Oreochromis niloticus: one gene and its partner. The protein of the gene in region 2 interacts with the protein of the main gene of each other region in a pairwise test. Links are inferred from orthologs where the notes say so. Each region holds a gene or a part of one and is shown on either strand. Other genes may lie near its edges.

The links.
Region 1: the proteins of gripap1 (region 2) and rab4a interact in binary tests that used the Homo sapiens proteins (3 or more experiments, as listed by UniProt). The link is inferred for Oreochromis niloticus from reciprocal best matches to the Homo sapiens genes GRIPAP1 and RAB4A.

The regions. Positions count from the first base shown.
Region 1 is NC_031965.2:25,563,684-25,571,567, forward strand, and holds the start of rab4a (ras-related protein Rab-4A), read left to right. Parts: upstream 1-4,622; 5' UTR 4,623-4,778; coding exon 4,779-4,794; intron 4,795-6,844; coding exon 6,845-6,925; intron 6,926-7,884. UniProt on the Homo sapiens protein: The small GTPases Rab are key regulators of intracellular membrane trafficking, from the formation of transport vesicles to their fusion with membranes.
Region 2 is NC_031984.2:3,704,600-3,712,944, reverse strand, and holds the start of gripap1 (GRIP1-associated protein 1), read left to right. Parts: upstream 1-4,947; 5' UTR 4,948-5,052; coding exon 5,053-5,100; intron 5,101-6,642; coding exon 6,643-6,709; intron 6,710-8,162; coding exon 8,163-8,224; intron 8,225-8,345. Other genes in the region: ptpn18 (tyrosine-protein phosphatase non-receptor type 18), read right to left, coding at 3,338-3,409. UniProt on the Homo sapiens protein: Regulates the endosomal recycling back to the neuronal plasma membrane, possibly by connecting early and late recycling endosomal domains and promoting segregation of recycling endosomes from early endosomal membranes.

The sequences.
Region 1 (7,884 bases), on a different chromosome or scaffold from region 2:
GGTGAACTGACGTTAACGACACGACAACAAGAACTAACTGACAGGGACTAAAATACACTGGCAGGCACATGAGGAAACGAGTAACAGGTGGGCACACAGCTGGGACTCATTAGGCTAGTAAGGACAAGGAAGTAAAACAGAATACACTAACATGAGACAAGACCTTCAAAGTAAAACAGGAACTCCACAGGCAGAATTCAGAGACAATACTAACACAGTACAGAGGGAACACAGAACAGGGACAGGAGGAACATGAGGGCAGAACTAAAACCTAAGAGCTAGAAATCACAACCCAGAAGGACAAGAAATCTAGAAAAGCAAAACAGAACCCAATAAACAATAATATAGAATCAAAACACTGGGCCACAGGCCCAGGACCGTGACACAATACTTGCTTTGAAGTAATCCCATGTGTGCATACAAGCAAGAATTATGAGAAATCCCAAGATGAAACTAAAACTAGAGGTGGGCAGTTCAATCAAAATATTGATGGTATTTATACTAATACTGGTGTTAGTATTGGCTCTATACTAGCTTGATAGGTTTGGTACTTTGCTTCTATCCGCTATGTTCAGCATGTAGCCCAGTGTGTTCAGTCAGTTGTAGGACTTTGAAGGGCTCAATAGGTTTACAGTAGCAAAAACCCTAGTGTAGTTCATCTGGTTCAGATCACTTATGTGGCCTGAATTGATTTCCTGTGCTACTAACAAAATTTAATTTAAAAAACCAAACAGGTTATGTTGCTTCCTATTGGCCTGCAGGGTGCAAGGCAGACTTTGCTTCCTGCTTCAGTGAAAACTTCTGCATACGTTGTGATCCAGGTAACTTCCTGTTCAGAGGCAAATGTTAACGTGCTTGTCCGAAGGGGCAGAAAACAATTCTGTGCGTATATAAAACAGGTCCACGGCTCCAAACAGTAGTAAAGGGACCTCTGGCTAATACTTTGGGTTCTGTGTCAGGCTCGAAGCCAAAAACTACCTTTACTTTGTTGTCTGGGTCAACTTTGCTATTGAGAGACAGAGAGAGGTGTTGAAAGGCTCCTCCGATAGAAGTTACTGTTTGATGAACACAGTGTACAGTCGAGTCTTAATAGCTTACTTACAACTGGGCTCATCAGGCACTCTTTTTGGCTGCAGTGGTTATTATTATATTTACATGCTTCCGTCTCCCGTATCTGGTCAGTGACAACTCGTACTTTCTTTAGGGCTATGCCTGTAACACTCTGCCTATTGCCTTCATATTAAATAATTTTTTGAATAATAATTTTTAAAAATATTTCTTCAAGTCATTATGCGGGCCCCAAGTAGAGTTGACATGGGCCGCGAGATTGAGACACAGGCATTAGAGCCTCTTAATGTGTGTTATGTTTGGGTTTCCACCGGTGTGGAATTAGCAAAAATAGAGAGGGCATAGCCTAACATACGAAACAGGAAAAGACCACTATGTAATCTATTTATTTCAACGAAATAACTGTATTCTGAATATCACCTTTTAAAACGATAACTGCAATGGAATACAGTTACTCATATTTTGTATTTTAAATACGTAATGCTGGTACATGTATTCCATCACTCCCCCAAACTGCCTCAGGCAAGTATGGGGCAAATCATACTTTCAGATTTGACAGCAGAATAATGATGAAAACTTTGCGTTTGTGCTTGTTAGCAGCTCAAAATGGCTGAGAAACACAAAAATGTTTAATGCATACAAAAGATACACCAGTGCTGTGGATTCCCTAAACACTTCAAGGTTCTCCACACACTGAGATAAGCCACAAAAGCAACACCAACCCCCAGCCCCCGTGGCTCTCCCTGGTAACAAAAGTGCCTCAAACATGACCCTAAGGATCTTCGATTATGCCAGTGGTTTTGATCCTAACGTTGCTGCTGATTGGTTTAGATTTACAGTTTGTTATTTTTTCATCCTGCGTCTCCATCTCATTCCTGTGCAATAATTTCACCGCTTTCCCACTGAAATGTTAACACAGATAATGAAGTTCAGAGAATTTGATTATATTTGCTATGTTATTTAGCAAATATAATCACCGGATGTAGCAACTGCATGAAAATGTAATAGAATTGCTGCCATTCTACCGCTGCAGGACATTTTCTGTGCCACTGATGAATTTTAAACTAATCCCTGGACATAATATTAAAACATGCACTTGTTGTATAGATGACATTTGACCTCACACAAAAGGAGAACCATGTTAATCCTTTTTGTAACATTTTTTTCCCAACATATTGTAACCCCTTAATGTCAAGTGTATTATATTTGAGACCTGATTTTTTTTAGGCTTCATCAATGTGATTTTTTTTTTTACCCTGGTAAACCTAAATAAAGACATTTTTAAGCCCAAAAAAGTTAGATGTAGCAAATATTATGCAAATTAAAAGGCATATATGCAAATTACTTTTTTAATATTTCTTTAAAAATGTTCAGTTTTCTAGAGTACGGGTTGCACCAAGCAAAACACACAGTAACTACAATGTCTAATTAAAAGTGGAAATTCTATACCTGAGCTGGACAAATCTATTTTTTTCAAGGTTTATTATTTGTTTTTCTTAAAACAAATAATAAACCAAACCAAAACTATGTACAGGTTTAATGAAGCCCTCTTTTACTGTGAAACACTCCTTTTATGTGCATGGTGTGCAGCCACACCAGATCTGCCTCATTTGCACATCTATGCAGAACATTTAAAAAGGAAATACATTGATGAACTTTCATAGTGCTATCACTTAGTTTGTTTTTCTTTACCCTTTCCAGCTTTTGTTTGTTTGTTTATTTACTATTAAATAATCTGTTATTTATGCTGTAAGGGCTGATTTATAGAACATTTCTATGCCAAAATGGTGGAAAAGTGATTCATTTCTTATGGTATCTTGTAATTGTTTGTTTGCTTGCTTGCTTGCTCCTTTAATGGAAATGTATGCACATTTGTGCGTTTTTACACAGAAGATACCTCATTTGTAGAGGTACAAAAAAAAAAGAAAAGAAAAGAAAATTTGTTAAAATAAAAGAACAAACAAACAGAAAAACTGTAATACAAAATACAAACAAACAAAACAGTTTTTTTTGTGACAGTTGAACACACCCATCAGGACATAATTTTCTACACACATTTACAAATGTATGTATTATATCTTCTTGCTGCTGTTTCCTGTACTGTACATATTATTTTTATGTCAGTCTTTTCACTTACTTTAAAAAAAAAATCTTTAACTTCATTTTTTATTATGTTATTTTAATATTGTTGAATGTAAAAAAAATTCTCTACATCAAATTATAAGATCTCCAGCATGGGCATGTTACTTGTACTTTGGAATGTCTGTCTGACATAAGAAGAGTGTATTTTTTAGGGTTTCTTCACTTCTGTGTAACCCTCTCCCCCCCCATGACTACTATTTTTATTTATGTATAATAATGTAATGTAAGTAACACTTAGTGCACAAACTAGTCTGTGCATTCAGAGCAGTGGAGGGAAACCCTGCCCTTCGAAAGCTTTGAAGAGTCCTGACACTTGGTAAGGTAAGAAGGTTTAATTTATCAATAAATATTCTGTAAGACATTAAATATGTTAAATATCCTGCATTTGTCTGACATTGAAGCTTTGACTAATGGCTGTGAGAGGCTTTGGAAGTTTTTCCATGTTAAAAAAATTGCTCACATTAGATCTATTTTTTTCCTTTTCCTTTCCTAACACTTTGTTAAGCAGTCCAATGGTCAGGAACACTCTTGATGGACTTCATATGGTCTCTGTTTCTAGACTAGGTGAAACTGTAAATCATTTGAAACCCTCAGTTAGTTTTGTGGTCTAGTTTCTGCTTTTTTCTGCTTAACCATTTTGCTCGTAGTCTCAAGTAGAGCTTCCAAAGATTGATTTTTTTTTTGTATTGTTGCATTGTTAACTTACATTGTGTACTATGCTTGCAGGTGCAAAGCACCTTCAGATAATACACTTGCATTTATGTAATGCTTTTCTAGTCTTATTATTGATTCAAAACACTTTCAACTACACATTTATGCAGGACTTCTATAAACTTCAACTACCTTACATCCGTGATCTGTTTAGAATCACCAGTGCACGAACATACATGTCTTCAGACTAAGGGAAGAAGCTGGAGTACCCAAAGAAAACTGTGTGAACTCCACACAGCTAAGCCCAAACCAGGATTTAAGCCAACTGTGAGGCAACAGTGCCTCTTGAAGAGATTTGGGACAGGAGTGATGGGAACACATATAGTTTTACCTTTATTACCACTATCCCATTAATAATGCACACAGATATGACATTTTCCTTGATTTGACCTACACTGGTGGATTTAAAGCTAATTTCAGTCGGGACAGGTCAAATTTGATTGGAGCAGTCTCAGTGTACAGATATGTGTAGCACATAAATTTAAAAAAAATTCTTTTTTATGTTTTAGGGATCACCTTAGGAAACGTCATCCAATTTCAAAATAAAAGACTTAATATTTATTCATTTAGTCACATGTAAAAAGTGACCTAAATAGCATCCAAGTCTGTGTCAAAAGTCTCAAGCAGACACAGCTCCACCCTGCGGCTGCCTGAAGACTTTACAGTGATCCAACGGTTCTTCGGTTAGACGGCTTTTATTTTGAAACAAACCGCGTACGGGAAGTCGGAGGGAAAAATCAGCTGGACTCCGCGGAAATCACCAACAGGAGTATTTTCCTTTTATTTAGCTAGCTAACCATCTGTCAACTCCCATTTCTCCCTCCCTTCTTTGTTGCTGTCAAACCGCCACACTGGCGATGTCGGAGTCGTACGGTAAGAAAGCACTTTTGACCGGCGGCCACCGTTATCATCCTCCCGTAGCCTCAGAGATGGGATGGGGCAGGTGTGCCCAGAGAGCTTTTTCTCATCGTAAACAGATAGCTGACAGGCTAACCGAGCCGCCGCTGAAGGCTGCTGGCCTTAAAAGTTGCCTCGTCAGCGTAAGGAAACCCACAAAGGCTGTACAGCAGAGTTTAGTGTCGCCGTGTGCAAAAAATGTACCCCCGGCACAAGGTTACAAAGCTCCCCGGAGGGTATCGAAAAAGACAGGGGAAGCTGACACCTGGCTGGGGCTTGGTGCAGCTGTAATATCTGACTAAGCTGCAACATTACAGCCACATATGAGGCATTGTTTTCTTAGCTTGACCATTTCACACCAAAATAATGATTATTTTGCTAGTTTAGTGGTTTAATAGTGGATGAATTCCTCCGTTGCACAGAACAGCTGATTGTAGTTTTTGTTTGCCTACATCAAAGCCTCCAGAATATTTTTTTTTTTGGGGGGGGGGCTTAATTGTTTGTTTGTTTTTTATTAGGATAATACCTATATCAATATTTGAAAGCTATAACATCAAGCAAGAAAAGCCAGGCGCTGTTTGTTGTTAAACATCAGTTTATTATGGCCAAAGCATCACAGTATTGTGCAGCATATGCTTGAGCCTGACTGATAAATGGAGTTTGGGAGCCGGTGTGCACAGTTTGTCACACTTATATATCTGAAACCCATTTGGAACACCTGCCAAGAAAATTAAAGACAAAAATCAAATTTCTAGTTTAGTCTGTGCTGGACTGTGGTGATGTGGTGATATGATTTGTCTGCATCTTGATTTTGCATTGTACTTTATCGCAGGTGATTCTTTTCGGTCTTGTATGAAAAAATGTACTAGTCCTCTTAAGCTATAATAATACTACAGGAGTATATGGTGGTAAATAAGGGTGTTTGCAAGGCTACTGCAGAGATTACTGGATTTACTAGACTTCACAACAGTGACGGTAACTCTCACCACTCAAGTGGGGGAAAACTAAATTTAAATGAGCTATAAAATATATGAAGCTACAGTCTCTAATTTCTCTAGAATATTTTGAAAGGTCATGTTTACGGAACTTGAACCACACCCTCATTTGTTTATATTTTGCAAGGAAAATAAGAAATAGGTGCAGCACTTTCTTTGAAACATGCAAAAATATATGGAAATACAGAATATAAGGCAAAAACAGAGTTTGTAATGAGTGTGAAAGTCAGGATTTGGTATGATTTGGTATTCTTCAGCACAGCCTGAGCTCTGTTAGACAGTTTTTTGTAATTTCTTTAAGTAGCCTTCAGGAATAGTTCTCTGGGCTTCTAAAAGGACATTCAAAGCTCTTCTTTGGATTTTGACTGCCTTTATTTCTGATTTCTATCAGGATGATCCCAAACTGCCACTGATTTTCAGTCCAGTTCTTGTGTAATTTGGCATACCTCAACCTTTTCTCCCTGTTTCCTTTCCTTAAGAACAACTGAGTTTGTAGATGGATCAACTGAAGGATGAGTTTTATCTCTCAGGTCAAGTTATTACAGTTCACTAAAACTAAACTAAAAAATAAAACTGTGTTTTTTAAAGATGGACTAACTGAGGTGACATTGACTAATTAAACTAAACTAGTTTAGTTTGTTGTCACATGTAGCTTTATTAGGCCTTGGTACATTTGGTTATTGAGGCTTGGAATGACTGTGAGATGACTGTGAGCTAACTGCCTGTGTTTGTATTATAATATCTGTTCTGAACCTCTGAAAAGCACAACCCAGATTACAATAAATAAGAAAGTTGGTACTGAAGCTAAACACTAAAATGAAACGAGCAAACTCACTGTGGAAGTGAAACTAAATTGACAAGAAAAACGAGCTGGAAAATACCAAACTAAGACTACAGTAACTGAGCTTTTCCCACATTTTTGTTGTAATTTCCTGTCGTGTTAGCTAGCGTCTATATGAGCAACTAGTTTCATATAGTCTGATAATAATAGCCCAACTGATGTAATGTGTGTCTTTGCTTTTCCTTTGCAGATTTCCTGTTTAAATTCCTGGTGATTGGGAATGCTGGAACGGGGAAATCGTGTCTTCTGCACCAGTTCATAGAGAAGAGGTGTAAGTCTGAAAGACGCAGCACGCTCCTGACTGTTTACTGTAAATTACAGCACTACATTAGGGAATTTCTTCAGGCAAATTAGACAGTAAATATGCCAGTAATTTCCACATGTTAAAGATTCCTAGGATGGAAATCAAGTTTTCAACCTTTTAAGTCCATATTTAATGAGTGAAATAAGCTGTCAAATCCATGGATATGACTGCATTCTTAATCCATGGATTTAACTGTGTGCATTTATACTTGCATTCTGAGTTTTATAGGCAAAACTAAGAAATCCTGTTAACTTTGGGTTAAAGCTAAGCTTCTCAGAGCTGGCAAGCTGGAAAGGGGGTTGTGTTAGATAAGAAATGCATTTACATTTCTAATATTGTTGAGGATGATGCACTGTAATGACAAAACTATTTGCTCGTCCGCCTTCACACTCATATGAACTTGAGTCTCATCCCATTCTTAATCCATTGCGTTTAATATGTCAGCCCACCCTTTGCAGCTATAACAGCTCCAGATCTTCTGGGAAGTCTTTCCACAAGGTTTAGGTGTGTGTTCATGGGAATTTCTGATCACTCTTCCAGAAGTGCATTTGTGAAGTCAGACACTTATGTGGTTTGAGGAGGCTTGGCTTGCAGTCTCTGCTCTAATTCATCCTAAAGGTGCTGTGTCGGGTTGAGGTCAGGACTCTACAGGCCAGTCAAATGCTTCCATGCCAAACTCACTCATCTATGTATTTATGGACTTTACTGTGTAAGTAAACATACGCAGTCATGTTGGAGCAGGACGGGGCTATCCTTAAACTGTTTCCACAAAATAGGGATCATGAAATGGACCAAAGTGTCTTGATATGCTGAAGCATTAAGAGTTTGCAGTCAGACAAGTGCTGTTATCCTGGCAACCACCAAACTCAGACTTGTCCACTGCTCTAGTGTCCAGTGGCGGTGTGCCCTTTACACCACTGCAACCG
Region 2 (8,345 bases):
TCATTTCTAACCTCACTGTGAGTTTAAATTCATTTCATCTCAGAAAAATGTGAGCAGAGCAGAAGTAGCAAAGTGACAGGCTTCTTACCCTGAACACAAATACGTTTCGTGCCCCAAAATAATTAATTTAGCAGCACCATGTGAATTTACATCACTATTCACTCGATCCAGTCACGCAGGATGTAATGCCCAATCAGGCCATGTGACTCAGCCACACACCGATTAAATAAGTAGCAGAAAAAAGGACCTAAAGGTGTGAATTGTACTCTGATATTAGGATACAGGAAAACAATAGCAGGGTGACCATTTTAAATATTGGAGTATGAAATACGCCTCACACTGATTAATCTAACGTTAAAAAAAGTTTCAATACAGTTAAAGAAAATTAGCAGAAAGCTGCAGTTTCCTTGCAGCTCAGCAGCAACAGCTACACGATGTCACCATGATCATTGTTTCGACTAAGAGTTGTAATGTGTACCTAAATATATGGCGATAAATAACACATGTTTAGAGGACAACACCGTCCTGAATATGGGAGGATTGTTTGGATGTTCCTCTGATCACTGAGCCTGAGAGTAGAGGACAGCATCAGTTTGAAGTCTAGAACATCTCATCTTAATTAGCGAATACCGCGCTGCGCTGTAGACAAAGCAAAGGTGGAAATCTCTCAGCATTGATATTTCAGACACTCGTCTGCTGTTCCACCACAGCGGGACGGTTGGCTTTGACATGTTAAATAATGTAAAACAGTTAGAGCAGTTTAAGATCAGTGCTCACTCGACATACATGACTTTCAGACTGACCACAGCATTAAAGCATTTATAGTCCGAGTTATTGTACGTCCTGCTGGTGTAAAATAAATTAGCCAGTTCTCTCAAATAAAATGCATTTCCTTCTTGTTTTATGTTATAAAATAAGGATGTAGTTTGATTTTCACAGAGAAATAAGATGATAGATGGTTGGATAATGTCAACAGTTTGTTTTAGCAAAAGCAGGCTTCCTTGTTTGATTCAACAGTAAAATAGAAAATGATCAGTTACCTGATATTTAAATTTATAATTACGCTGGATTTGTTTCTGGACATAAATTTTATGTGACTTTGAAGCTGGCATTACACAAAGTTTTTAAAGAGTCTCTTATCCAAGCAGCCACTTAGGAAAGACAGCAGGATAAAGGACACTGTGCAGTGGGGTCAGGTTCATTCATGAACAGAGCACAAAGTGGACCTAGAAGATGCAGATGGAAGACAAGTTCAAATTTTTGAAAGCCACAAACGAGGGAATTTACCACAACCCCCCCAAAAAACAACACCTTGATCCCCGAGTCTGACGAAAAGCCAAAGACTGACCAGCAGGTATATCCACACCTTGACATCCACCTTTGTTGTACTGTTCGTGTTCCATACTAATTCAATCACAGGACCCTCGGCTGCATTACTGTGACAATGACCACACACATTACGTGGCACTCGATTGTAATGGAAAACTGGTCAATCCAGCTCGCCCTGGCGAGTTGATCCAAGTAGGTAGTGATGGAAAAGAGGCTATACAAACTTGATGGAACAAACAGGGAAACCAGACAACGATGGAGACAGAACTCTGGGAGACCAGACGGACATGGGGACATGACCGGGGAGAGAGAGGGGGTAACAACACAGAAACAGGAGTGCCTTCCACAGGAGACGCCGATGACAAGGCGCAGACGAGACTGGGAGAGATTAAGGAACAAAAGGGAACTTGCATAAAAAAAACAAGAACCAAGAACTAGAAAGATCAATAACAAACCTACAAGGCCCTAGGAAATGTTAAGCTGGAGACACATACAGAGAACTAATACAAAACTAGAACATGAAAACCTCTTAATTCTAAAGAAATGAGTAATAAGCCTAAAACAAGCACAGAATACTGGGTCAGAGACGCAGGACCAGGACACTGAAAAATACCTAATTTGACTGATTGCAATCATATGCAAACTGGCCATCTGCATATAAATCTAGTTCCTGCAGCTTTTTCAGGAGGATGAGTCGATATTCTGTCAGTGTCTATCTGGCACATCAAACGAGAGTTTGGACCATCACACCCTTGCTGGTACTGTTACCATAAGTGTGTCTGTTGGTATGATCATGGTAAGATGTCAACCTGGAAACGCCTACAGAAGTGAGTCTCGTCTCTTTGTCATGTTCCGATAACTCACAGTTGCTGTGGCTTTTGTGATCCACTGGAAATTATTTTTAGTATTTTACTGGCCTGAGTTTCACCTCTGAGGCTAAACATAAACTTAATAAAATACTAAAATTAAAAAGAAACGTCATTTTTGTTTTCACTTACTGTTTGGTCAGGGTAAGGCACCAGTGTTACTCGGTTCAGATTAGAAAAAGGTCTTATTTTGGGTTCAGATAAGCATGTTCACCGTCTTAACCCTTTGCATTTTAAATGGCATGCTGAAGAGTACCGTGTAATTGAAAGTGTGACACAGAGGAGTGTGACGTAAGACGGACCGAGTCATAACCTTTCTGACAATGAAGAGGACTATTGGACCCGTGTGAGGTTTGTAAAAGCAGAATTGATGGCACAGTTGGTTTCTGTCTGGTCTGGACTGCAGGTGTTTATTCTAAAAATAAAATTTGAAGAGAAATGGACTGAGATTGGACCCCTGAGGAACACCCGCACAACCTGTCAAAATCCGGTTTGAAGTCTTTGAGACTTAACTGAAGTGAAATCACAAATCTTTGTGTTGAATGAAGACAGGCAGGATTAATAAAGCAGGTTTTTGAATAGGTGGAGGAAAAGCTGGAGCTCTTAGAGAATTCAGGACCCTCTTAATGTATTAATGTTAATGCTTAATACTAAAAACAGGGTACAGTGCTGATGGCGTTCATGAAAATAAGAGTATCCTCAGTCTGAAAACAACCTAATATGGTGTGCATGTTAGACTCAACCTATTTAGCTTTGCATGTTTTACACACACCAGCCTCACGTGACTGAGTTTATCTGATTATTGGCTGCAGCTCATTTGATTAGATGGGTCAAAGTTGAAAACAGAGGCAGGTATTTCCAGGAAAGTGCAGCACATAAAAGAAGTCGTTGACAGAGATGAAAAGCAGCGAAGTTAAAGGTCCACAACATACAGAAGTTTGTGCATTGTGTAAAAATGTGACGTATAGGAGAAAAACTAACCTCAAGCTCAACCTCAGAGTTACTCAAGCTGTTCTCAATTGTCATCTGAACTTGACAGTGCATTATTACTGCACTTTTATTTCGTTGGACCAGATTCTCGAGGATGTGAAAGCTCTCAAACTGGCTTTTCCATAAACTGAGGAATGAAAACAAACACTCACACTGTACTCCTGATCCACAGTCCTGGGATCGACTGTCTTCAGTCTGGACAGCAGCGAGGGCAGCAGCTCCATCTCGAGTCAAGTAACATCCAACACCTGAGCCGAGCTCGTGCGCCTCACTGACTCTACTCTCCTGGCTGTAGGCTGATCAGCCAAAACTGAAATTGAAATAAGCCTCTCTCTCTCTCTCTCTCTCTCTCTCTCTCTCTGTCGCGCGCGCTACCTCTACCTCTTAGTTCTCTCTTTCCCTCTGTGTCTCAGTTCTGCCTCTGTCTGTCAGTTAATAATTTAACACCAGCTAATTGAGCCTCTCTCTCGCTCTCTCTCTATCCGAACTGGAGAACAAGGAAGTATGTGCACAGTTTGAAAGAAATCACAAAAACTTTACAACTGGTTACTTCACTGAATTTTAAAGCGTTGGTGTGTTACAGAAATATATTTCCTTCCTGAAGCACACAGCTAGTGAGTAATCTGGCACAGGCTGCATACCATGTATGCAGTCAGGCAACCTGTTTCACCTGTGTGTTCACCAGACAGTGTGCAGAGATAGATTTTCTTGATAGAGAAGTGTTGACAGAGGTGGAATTTAAAACCACTGCCTTGTCTGAAGCTGAAAGATATAGGCACGTGTTTAAAAACACTGAACTGTGATGGACACGTGATTAATTCTGCTTTTTGCCGAGCAGGCGTAGAAAGGTAACTAGATAGAGATCTAACTTATGTAGTTCAAAAGTTGAATAACCACTCTCACATAAACTGGAGGCAATCTTGTGTAGCTCTTTTCTGTTCTACCTGAACACACCTCATTCACACCCACTCATATAAGCATTTTTCTTTTCCTGTCCTTAAGTGCTTTCTATCTAACAAGGATGTTTTGTATGCCAGGGCTCAAACCACCAACCTTTATGGCCTGTGCTACCTCCTGAGCTACAGCCCCACCTAAAAACAATAGTAGCAAAAGCCACCAAATACACTCAGACACCTTACAAGAACAAGGTTGGACTACCTTTTCCCTTCTTCAGTGAGTGCTGGGAACACTCCTCAACAATTTTGATCCATATTAACATAATTAAACATGAATATATTATGAGCCAGTGGCTCAGAGCCACATACACAACTAATTCCCATTACTCTGGATCTGATATTTTCTTTATTCATTTATTCAGTAATGAAAATGACCCTGGCTCACCATTGCACATTGATTTCAGCTGTCCAGAACCTAAAATGACACCTTAGCAGTGCTTGTTTTGCTGAGTATTCAAACAACAGCCTTAAGAAAAGAACAGCAAGTCCTCACATGTGAGAAGCGGGAGTGAAAGGTTTTTAAATTTATTTATTGGAATTATTTTGTAAAGGCACCACTCATTTGGCCTTGTTAAACAAAAGTACATAATCTATAACAAAGATCGTATTTCGTTATCTCTCATGATATTTACATGGAAATATAAATATATTTTGTTATATATAAAATCTGACCTCGAAATATTCGCAGGTCTTGAGTAAATGTAGTTCGTAGTGATTGAGGTTTCTCCTCAGTTCTCGGAAACAGCATCAGAGTGAGCGCTCTGTTATGGCGGCTCCTCTCTGTCAGCTGCTCGGTTCTCAGAAACTGCGTCAGAGTGAAACCTCCATCCTGTCTCCTCCTCTCTGTCAGCTGCTGCGTCTCCTCCTCCGCTAGCTTAGCCTGCTAGCTCGCAGCAGCAGGGAAGGTAAACATGGCTATGTCGCAGGCTCTGTCCGAGGAGGAGTTCCATCGGATGCAGGTGAGAAAAACTACAGCGATTGTTCTTTTGGGTCGCTGGGCTCTCACACGTGTAGGTGTCAGTGTGGTGAAAAACACCTGTGCGGTGCAGCATCACTGCCAGGGGCGTTAGCACAGTCTGCTAATCGTGAGCCGTTGCTAGGTGGGAGCGGTTAGAACGGCTAGCTCGGCTGACATTATTCATTTAACGTTGGCAGGAAGGTAACGGGCAGCCCGAGCTTTGACATGCCTCCGGGCGATACACTTAAGAAGGGGAGGAAGCAGACACAACGAGAGAGCTCAGTTCAACACTTAGCCTAGCTTAGCCTCCCCCTCTGTAAAGAAAAGCACAGCGTAGCATTTTTGATGCTAACCGTTATTTCTATCTGACAGCGGGCTAACATGTTAGCATTCAAGGGACTCTCGCCCTGCTGAGAGTCACGGGGTCCGAGGCAGGCTCCCGTGGGCTCCTCTGTGTCGGAGACAGGGCCGGGAGGCTCAAACACCTGTTAACATACTAACCACTGACCTCCCTGACCACTTTAATAGGACTATATACTTATAGAGTCGTTCTCTGTTGTTACACAAAGTGTAAGAACAGGAATCTTGACATGGTAAACAGCAGTAGGGAAGAGTTCAAATATATTTACCACAAAAAAGCCGTTAATACAGCTATTATACTGTAGTAAACGCATTATTTTATTCTGTAATAAATGCAGTTAGGAATAGAAAGGTGTACTTAAAACATAAACATGTGTGCAGGGCTCTTTAAATGCAGCTGTAAGGCTCCTCTGGGCCAGTAAGGTGGGTCCCTACAGGACATCATGCTGTTTATGAAATATTTAGGAAGAAAGATCTTTCTAAAAGATGGAGGTAGCCACTAGTGTCAGCAGCTGGTTTTGGACTTTACATTTGAACGGCCAGTGTTGTGTTTTTTGGTGTCAGCAGTGAGTGTATTTAGGCAAGAGAGTAGAGTGCTCTGTAATGAGCATAAACAGCATTTTGGGTGGGTGTAGCTGCCGTGATGTCACCCGTTGGTTTGTGAAGTCCTGCTACAAAGCTTCAAGATCAGGGTATTCTTGTCGCCCTCTTGAAACTGGATATCTGGGATGGATCCGACTATGCTTGTGTTAAGTGTTTCAGTTGAAGGCAGCTGGACGACTTCTTGGTTCATGAAGACATTTCATCTCTCATCTCAGGGGCATCTTCAGCTCTAAAACCTGATATGGAGTCCCAGGTTTTTAACTCTTTGAGGATGGGTGGGACCACCTGTGCATAAACCAGCGGTTATTTTGCCTCTTGCTGACATTCAGTGATCTCTGGTCACCACGCTGCTGCTTGTTACAGTGCGGAGCACAGTAATCAGTTTATTTACATGTTAAAAGATAAATAAGCTCATCATCAGTTGACCTTTGAAAAGGGATGCAAATACCTACTGGCCAATCAAAAACACAACATGGTTCATGCAGTTTCTAAGTAAAGCTGGTCATAAATTAATACTGGTGTGTGTGTGTGTGTGTGTGTGTGTGTGCGTGTGTGTGTGTGTGTGCGCGTGCTTGTGCAGGCCCAGCTGTTGGAGCTGCGGACTCAGAACTACCAGCTGTCTGATGATCTCAGGAAGAACACGGCAGGTAAAACCTTTCACTCTTTGTCCTTCTAGTTCCTGCTGTTTCATCTCATCAACACTTGAAATTACCACAAGCACACAAGAGGCTCTTTAAAGCAACAGAATCTTTAAAAACACAGATTATGGTAAATGGTAAATGGCCTGTATTTATATAGCGCTTTACTGGTCCCTAAGGACCCCAAAGCGCTTTACATATCCAGTCATCCACCCATTCACACACACATTCACACAGATTAGAAGACCCTTAGCCTAAAACCAGTTTTCCTGCTTCACCTGGGCAGTTTTTGTCCGGGTGAAGGTTTTACTGAAGTTAAAAGAGTGACCTTGCCAACGGGGCAGCAGACATTATAAGAGACATTAGAGGACAAGTGCAAATGTCACACAGTGCATGAGAGAGAACACAACATTGAGATTATATGAAATATAAAATAAAAGATCAAGGTCAAAACTGCTTCAAACTCATTTTGTTGCAAGTTTTAGAGAAAACACACTGTCCAAGAAGCTTTTGTCTCAGGTTTTACAAGTGACTGATGCGAACTGTTAACTGTGGGGCGGTTTACGGCCGTTTCAGATCCGTCTGCATATTATTCCAGGAAAACAGGACTGCATAGATGAATCTTTGTTTGTTTGAAAGGGCAGGGATTAGCTGGATTTTAAAAAGTCATAAAATAAACATGTGTAGTTGGAAACACTGTAAGGCCGGAGGAGGATTTTGGTGTAGTTAACTTAGAGCCGTCCTGTGTAAAATGAATCAGTGGCGTGACTAACAGGCCCTCAAGAACCCAGAGATTTGGGTCAAAAATTTCTGGCCTTATTTTCCCAGCACATGAAAAATTTTAGAGCTAAAAAACACATTTACATGGCTGGACAAAAAAAATTACAGCATATAAAAGGTCTTCTTTCTAGCCACAATTCCTTTGGGTCAAAATCATTTATTCATTCATTCATTCATGGTATGAAGGTAAAAATTTCCGTTGCTTTGTTAAATATATTATAATTATTTAAAAAATAAAACAGCTGATTTGGAGAGGCTCAGGCAGGAAGTATTTTAAGTGCAATGGCCCAATAATAGTAGTAATGATATTTTTTATTTGTCCCACTTTTTAAAATGTACATATTCACACAGAATAAATTGCACACAGATAAGTGTGTACATATCACAGCATAGACAGCATGAAAGCAAGCAGGGTCCTTCACTAGAGTAAAATAACAGAACATGAGATGGTCTATGAAAATGCAAAATATAGGAGGAAACACAGGAGGGAATCTACCCGCAACCCTGACATTCATGGATACAAGCAGGCTTTAAATGCAGTCAATGTACAGGCTCCACTTCAACTAACGTACATGAAATTATTCATCGCATAAATATTTGATCGGCCCATGTTAGCAGTAAAACTTTATTGAAGAGGAAACGCGTGCTTTCTATAATTAAATGTCGTCCTGGTGCATTTCAGAGCTGAATGCCGTCCGTCAGAAGAATGTGGTTTTGGAAAGAGATTTTATCAAAGCACAGAAGGTAACGAACACTTTATTACTGTGGAGTGTTTTTGTAGAGGAGTGATTGGAAAAAATTAACCTGCTGACCTGAATTTGGAGGTTTATTTTCTAATACAGCTTGTCTTCAGTTTTTTTTATTA